Drosophila melanogaster: one gene and its partner. The protein of the gene in region 2 interacts with the protein of the main gene of each other region in a pairwise test. Each region holds a gene or a part of one and is shown on either strand. Other genes may lie near its edges. The genes, in order: CG13840 and CG7465.

Region 1 (4,460 bases), on a different chromosome or scaffold from region 2:
CCATTAAAAAAAAAAAAACCCACCTCCGAGCGGGTCAAGCAAAGGCCAGCGACGTTGCCAACTATGCCATAGCTGGAATTTCTTGGCTATTTGCTGGCTGCCTTGGCTTCTGTTTTTGCTGGCTGCTGGATTTTTGCCTTTCCTTCGACCGTTTTCTCATTTTAACGTTTTAACGTGACTTAATGAAGTTTCAGTGTCACAGCAAAATCTGCTCCTGCTGCTCCTGCTGCTCCTCTCCGCCTGTTAATTTTATGATGGATTTTATGCAGAGCGCGCCAAAGAAAACTTTGAACTTTAATAAGTATGTGTATGCAGGCATTTAACTTTGCCATCGTTTTGTCGATTTTTTCTACTCACTTTTTTTTATTTTCTGTTCTTTTTTTTTTTAGTAGATTTTTTTCTTTACACATTTTGGCCATGTTAAGCTGGGTGGCTAGCTGGCTGGCTTCTTTTCTATGGGAACTTTGCTAAAATATGCTTCACAGGGCTTGAAAGCATTTGAAGTAATGAAAAAGAAGCGAAAAAAATTGCATCCAACAAGTATAACACACACACTCTCGTTCCAGGTGATATGGATGGGGAGGTTTAACTGTACAGTGAAGCTGCGCAAAATTTAACGAAGCTTAACCTCATTCAATGTGAAAATACACTTTACTTGTACTTTGCGCTGTTATTTCAAAAGTGCGGTGACGGTGGGCGTTGCTGCTAACGCCGCTCTAAGGGGGCGTGGCTAAGGTGGGTCTATATATATACAAATATATATATATATATGTATATAGAGAAAGGTGGCGATGCGAACCTGGTGAACTTTGCAAACTTAAATGCAGAGCAGAATGATGAATGATCCAAGGATGCCAGGCTAGCAACGAAAAGAACTCGCTCTATCTCCGTTTTTCGCCGACTTTCCCTTGATTTCCCGCCAGAGGCAACTACTCGCAGAGAAAATCACAAATATAAGATTAAAATCGGAAAATAACACTACAATACTTTAAACGAACTACGAATGGCAGAAAACACAAAAATGGTAACTAAGGTATAATATATCTATGTATCACATATTAAATGTATCTTCAATTCTACAAACCTGAATATAGAAATATTATAATCTTATATCAACTATTTTGCTGAGTGCACTATAAAATCGCTGAGAATGCTATTCCCGCAAAGGTTCTTTAAAATTGAATCACTTTAGACCCAAAGTGCATTGTCAGCTTTGAGTGAGTGAAGGCGTGGCTGGTAAATTATGCAAGAGCAACGATACCAAATGTCGTCGAATGCATCCAGATGAAAATTGAAAGTGCTGCAATCCGAGATCTCAGACGCGTTTCAAATCTCCGGCGATTGCACTTGGCAAAGACCGGACCGCAAGCACATGAAGCGCACGTCACCATTTGTGCAATCAAACATCGGAATGGCCGCGACATTGACCGCAAGCTGCCACACAGTGTGAAATCCGATGCGGCTGGGAGCCAACCGGTGCACAGTGGTTACAGCTATGTTGAAAATTATCAAATATTATGCTAGCTTAAAAAGGAAGCAATATTTATGCACTCAAAACAAAACTTACTTAATTTAATAACTTCATTTTTACCATTTTTATCACATCCACAATAGATTTTCTTTTTTAATTTTTGAGCCCTATTAGACCACAGTGCATAGGTCGATGTGCATTGCGGGCTAGCAATTGCGGTATAGCTGCGTATTTTGTGATTGCGAATTGTGCGGACAGCGGATCGCCGCCTCACTTGCATCTGAAAGGAACAACCAGAAAGGGACTATCTGGAACAGTTGGTGTGTGCCGCCGAGTGAAAGTGAGTGCCTGGGCATGGGCTTCCACTTACACAATCCATGGTGGATTGGCCAATGAACTTGAAGTGCCAACGAGGATATCCAATTACAAGTAGAGCGCTCCAAGCATTTGAAGAGTGTGTGTGTGCTATAAAAACAGCATCGCGATGTCACAAATTTGCATTTCAAAGCGGAGCAACACCCACGCCAGCTGCATCCAAACACGCACTCCGTTGGCGGATTGGAACAAAGGATATAGGACACAGGAGTTCAGGATTTCAGGACACACACAACCACCCAACGTTATGGGGCGGCCAAAATCCGGCCAAGGCTTTGGGTCACCTGCCACCAGTTCATTAATGATCTATGCATTAATGTGGCTCGCTTTGGCCATGACAATGGAGGCCATAGATGCCCCACTGCCCCTATCCCTGGCGGAGTACCCGCTCGGCCTGTCGCTGGAACATGGCAGCAAACACCATTACCAGGATGCGGGTGTGGACTCGTTGCCGGGATTAACAGGATATACGCGAAATTATTATGGCCCCACTGACACTGCAGCCGGCGATGACTTGGCAACATATGGAAATTATGCTCACAAACTCCTGGCCGCCACCCATCAACAGCACCATCGCCATTCGCAATCCTCCCTTGGCACCACGGCCAATGGCTTTGTGCCCTTCTACTACAACAGCAAACTGCACTCGCCATTCACCGCGGATGAGGAGCCGCGTCGCGACCCATCCGCCAATATCGATTTTGTCATTAATACGGCAAATTATGAGCCAAATTCCGCTGGCTACGATGTGGAGCCACATCATGGGGAGCAGCACTACGAAAGCTATGCATATCGGCCGCGGGTGCAGTTTGCCACATCGCTACCCGGTCCCAGCGATTACCATTTCGAACAAATTTCCAATTACCGGGAGAATCGCCAGCGGGAGCAGGAGGTGGAGCAACATCAGCAGCAGCAGCACCAGGAGCAGGAGGATATTACTAGTATCTATGCGCGGCTCAAAGAACTCCAGACACCGGCCAATCCAGTTAAGCGTCAGCAGGAAGAGTCCCTATCGAGTCATCATCCAAACCGGGAGCAAAGCCAGCCACTGGAGCAGCGACATTATCAGCAACCTGAAAGCAGACAGCTGCAACAGCCACACTTGCAACAACATCTGCAACAAAAGCGGCCACATGCGCTGCAATATCCTCAGGATCAACGGCATCACCAGCGCCTGGGAGTTGCCCAGGACCAGCAGATGTTGTACTCTCACAAGGATAGCCAGATTGCAGATCTCCCAGCCATAACCACCAGTGTGCACCATACTCCGGAGAGCAGTAAAGCGGTAGCCGGATTGCCGTTGGCCAAGCACATCGAGATCACTAAGAGTGTGCCCATCACCCACTATCAGAAGCAGCATGTGCCCTTCAAGCAGAACGTCCAGGTGCAAGTGCCACGAACCGTGATCGCAGCCATACCCAAGCCCATGCCCATCAAAATACCAGTGGCCCAAACGGTGGCCGTGCCCCAGATGCAAGAGGTTAAGATTCCCATCGAACGGGTGAAGCCGGTGCCCGTGGAGCGGCCCATTCCCTTTGTGGTTGAGCGCAGGGTACCCTACCGAGTGGAGAAGCCGGTGGTCTCGCCAGTTTATTATCCGTATCCGGTCAAAGTGCCAGTGGTGCGCACGGTGGTGCACAAGCAGCGCCCCCACTACGTGGCACCCGGCTGGAGTGCCAACGGCAATCATCTGCTGGGATGAGTCTATCTTAAGAATAAATTCTTAAGCCAGTTTTATACCCTTGCAAAAGGGGTTTTTTGATTTGTAAAGTAAAAGTACAAACTGTAGGGTAGTCGATAAATATATTTTTGGTGGAATGTTCTTAAGTTGAATTAAATACATTTATTAATTTTTCATGTTATGCAGTTTGATTAACGGCTAGAGTATTTCAAATTCAGCTTATGCCTTAATTTCTAGTGACTGAACCCCAAAAAGTAATTGCAATTAGCAAAACAAGAAGACAAAAAAGGCCACCGACAGCAACTGCAGTGTGGCTGCAAAAGCATCCAGCATGCAACTCCTTGATCCCAAATCCAAGTTTCTAACTCCCAGTTAACAGCTACCAAACAAAACAACACATTCGGAGTCGAAGTTGAAGTTGGAGTCACAGGGCAGGTCCCAAACCGAAATGAAGAAAAGTAGCCGAGTAAAACTTTTTAATTGAGCTAAAATCCAACAAATGCGGCTAATAAATATGTATTGAAGTGCGATGGGCAGAACGAGGCTGAAGTCCGGTTGCAATGCAAAAGGGGGCTGCAGCGAAAGTGCAAGAAAATGCAGCGGCTAATTGCCAAATGTAACTCCAGTTGAAACAACTTTTAACTGAAACAGCAGAAGGAGCAACAATGACGCACAAATAAACGCGACGTTCAACTTCGCCGAGGCGTTAACGAAACAGCAACAAAATTAGCCAAAAAGTAAAGTTCCAGCAAGGGTCGCGAAAAGTCGGGCCAGTAGTTTCTGGTTGGGGAAAGTGCTGCAAGTTATTGCCGGCTAATGAAATTAGCCCTAATTGACGTGGGAGCCATTCGACTCCATTTTTAGGGAGGCGAAGTGAGGAAGAACTCCGCACCCACCACACACAATATATGTAATATTCGGCAGCAAAGGAGA
Region 2 (3,746 bases):
AACTAGATTCTGCTAACAAAACGTTTCTATATTTAATTGCAAATCGTATATAAATAATATATCCACTATAAAATAACATTTTAATAAATTACATAAGCGTTTAGGTCATAAAAACCTATTAAATTAATAACGGCATATTAAAAAGACACACCATCCAAGAAAGTTAACATACCCTTACTTTTGTAGGTAAATGGTCTAAAAGCGTTAAGCAGGCTTGAACTTTTTGAAGATGAGATTGCGGAAGCTTCGGCATAAATAGATTTCAATTTCGATTATGTGTCAAGTGTATATTGCTTCTCTAATCCCACGTTCTTATGTGTATAATTAGATCGTGAAATAATGAATATATTCTAGCCCTAAAACCTTTTTATATTATTACATTAAATTATTATTTTTAAATAGGTTAATACATGTTTAAAAACTTTGTCGTTTTTTATTATTCTCTGGTTTATATATTATCCGCAAAGATTTATGTTTTATCCGAATATATTCCTCCTTCAGTCAATTCTATACATATAACCTTTTATCACCCAGCTCGTACACCCAACATAATAAAATTAAAAAGAGCTGAATGTATGGATTCGTTATCGTATTATTGTATTTGAATGAAAAAGAGGTATTCTAATAGTAGGGTCTGCACTCAAAAATGAGCACAATTCGATCACCTAGTGAAGCCTTTATCGGATGATTTAGTGGCGGCGCAACACAACGCGCTTGTGGGTCTTGTAGACGTATCCATCATCAGCCAGGACATGGGCGGGAGCCGCCTCGACGGTGTTTTCCTGGGGGGCAAGGTACTCGGCAGAGGGAGCAGACTGCACGGGAGGCAAGTACTCGTTGGAGAGCTCGTTCACATCACGACGGTGACGGCGGGTTACCACGCGCTTGTGGGTCTTGTAGCGGTATCCATCAACGGCCAAGTCGGTCTCAGGAGCAGTCTCAGCGGGAGCCAGGTACTCGTTGGAAGGAGCTGCGAAGGGGGGCAGGTACTCGTTGGAGAGCTCGTTGACGTCACGGCGGTGGCGGCGGTAAACAACGCGACGATGGGTCTTGTAACGGTAACCGTCATCGGCCAGCTCATGGGCGGGCTCAGCCTCAACCACGACAGGAGCGGGGGCGGCCAGCTGGACAGGGGCGGCGATCTGAACTGGAGCGGGAGCTGGGGCAGCAACCTGGACGGGGGCGGACACTGGGGGCAGATACTCGTTGGAAGGAGCAGCAGCCTGGACTGGGGGCAGGTACTCGTTGGAGGGCAAGTGGCTCACATCACGACGGTGACGGCGGGTTACCACGCGCTTGTGGGTCTTGTAACGGTATCCATCATCGGCCAAGATGGTCTCAGGAGCACCCTCAGCAGGAGCCAGGTACTCGTTGGAAGGAGCTGCGAAGGGGGGCAGGTACTCGTTGAAGAGCTCGTTGACGTCACGGCGGTGGCGGCGGACCACCACGCGCTTGTGGGTCTTGTACCGGTAGCCATCATCGGCCAGCTCATGGGCGGGGGCAGACTCGGCCTGCACGGGAGGCAGGTACTCGTTGCTGGGTCCGGCGATGATCTGCTGCTCCTGGACGGGAGGCAGGTACTCGTTGGAGGGCAGGTGGCTGACATCGGCAGCCACGGCTGCGATCACGGCAAAAGCGACCAGGAAGAGTTTCTGCAAGAGACAGTTGGGAAATTTGTTTAGTTTAGTCCTTCAGTGGCGATTCGATGGCTCCTAAATTGTCGAATCGTACCATATTGTCCGATGAGTTGCTTGTTCACAGCAGTAAAACCGAAACTCTAATGAGGAATACGCAGAACCTTTTGGTATTTATACAGATTCTCCGCTCTTCGCTGGCTATTACAGAGCTGGCGTTTTTTGCGCCTCTGCCCAAAAAGACGTCGCTGCCGGCGCAAGCGTCTGTAAATTCGCACGACTTCGGCTTTGGTTTGGCTAAGCTACGGGTTCTAAGCCGCTCTTTTGCGGCTCAAACGCAGCTTGGCCAACACGATAGACGGCGACTGCGACGCTTACATTCGCACAAGCTATAGCTTCGGAGCAGTTGATGGCTAAAAAAAAAATGTTTAATGGCCAAAATCGTTCGCACGGATTCTCTTAATTGTTTTATTTAATCATATGCAAAAGATTTGATGGACATCAACGTTTTGGACAAGTCGAGCGCGCAAAGATACTCACATACAAATATATATAAACATATACATATATCCGTATTAACTTGGCTCTCGTCTTGTTTACACCTCTTTGTGTTCGCTCCACCTGCCTGGTTTCATTCAAGCCGCTATTGGAATTGCGCTCGATATAAATTCAAATGATGAGTTATATGTTTCAATCAAATTCGCTCACTTCAATAGCTTTCCGAATCGCCACTCAAAAAGTCGATTATTTCGATCGCAGCCTCTTCCCATTGTGGCGATGTCGTTCGCCGTTCATTAATCAACAAATAGGAACTGACCAAGCGAGCCATTCAATTTTTGGAAATATGATATAATTATGCCTGATGCGTACGAATTGTATAAGTTTGTAAACCGAATGCCGGATATAGGATGACGAGATCTTCAGAAGATCCCATTGTGAATTCTAAGAACAATCCGCTTTGTGCGGATGCGCGCTTATCAATTACTAAGTTTGAAATGGCTAATAATATTTATTGACATTAAAAAAGACAACAGTATGGATATGTCTAAAATATATAATTGTTATTTAAAAATAAAATTTAAGTTTTAATAAAACATTGATTTGAAATCGTAATAGGTACAGCTTACTTTTAAAAACATGTTTTCTTATAATTATTAATCGACCAATTTGGTTGACACAGCACACTTAATCCCAGCTTAAGCATTTTTCAATATCATCCAGATGTGACATTTAATCTGCAAGTGATTTTTTGTGTCACTTCTGGTTAAAAACCTCTCACCAATTGTTTCCAAAATTAAACATGGACATGCAAGGGATGTCCGAATAAATCAAGTTAATCTGTTTCCACCTGCATATAAGGAGTATTTATTTTCGCTTATTTATGAGTTAGTTTAATTTTAAACGCATGCGCCAGTTGATAAAATAGGATTGAATGATTAAATTGAAGATATTAATGCGTTTAAAAAAAGAAGGCAGGCCATCAAGTCAAGCTAATCAATTTGTTAAGAGTCAAAGTGCAGCAAATGATTAATGGTTTAACTTTGGCGGAGAGGGGGAGTACATGCTTTATTTGGTGTATTTGCAACATCGAAGCTAAAATAAATAGCCATGAAGCAAGGCTCGTTAGAGGTGCTAAGAACTAATCGGTTCCGTAAAGTGAAGGATAAACGATGACTAATCAACCGCCAATCGATTCATCGAAAAATCGCTATATAACTCGGGTCAAAGTACAGCCGTGAAAGTCAAGGCCATGATCGATGGGGTTGCCCGAAGTTTTAGATGAATGGAGGTGGTTGTGGGGATTGCGCCGGTGATGGATGGTTGTCACGCGCCACCAATCGCCACCAATCTGAGAAGACGGACCTTAATAGCACCAGTTTGGCTAATTAACGCGGCGACCATAAACACTTTGGTCGGTATCAAATAGCAACTATATCAGTTTTCCTATTCCCAAATGCATAAAGGTTGAGAGCCTTACAATTCTAGTTTGGCCTGCCATTGTACGCGTGAGATAAATCACTTAATTTCCTGTATGTGTGCAGCACTTAAAAATACTCAAAAAACTGCGAGTATTAACGAGCTGAATTTATGGCTTTGCCAATTTACATTTTA

The links.
Region 1: the proteins of CG7465 (region 2) and CG13840 interact in a two-hybrid assay, tested with the Drosophila melanogaster proteins (one large-scale study listed by BioGRID).

The regions. Positions count from the first base shown.
Region 1 is NT_033777.3:22,813,725-22,818,184, reverse strand, and holds CG13840 (uncharacterized protein), read left to right. Parts: upstream 1-2,006; 5' UTR 2,007-2,147; coding exon 2,148-3,548; 3' UTR 3,549-3,702; downstream 3,703-4,460.
Region 2 is NT_037436.4:4,478,319-4,482,064, reverse strand, and holds CG7465 (uncharacterized protein), read right to left. Parts: upstream 1,783-3,746; 5' UTR 1,735-1,782; coding exon 1,732-1,734; intron 1,653-1,731; coding exon 690-1,652; 3' UTR 578-689; downstream 1-577.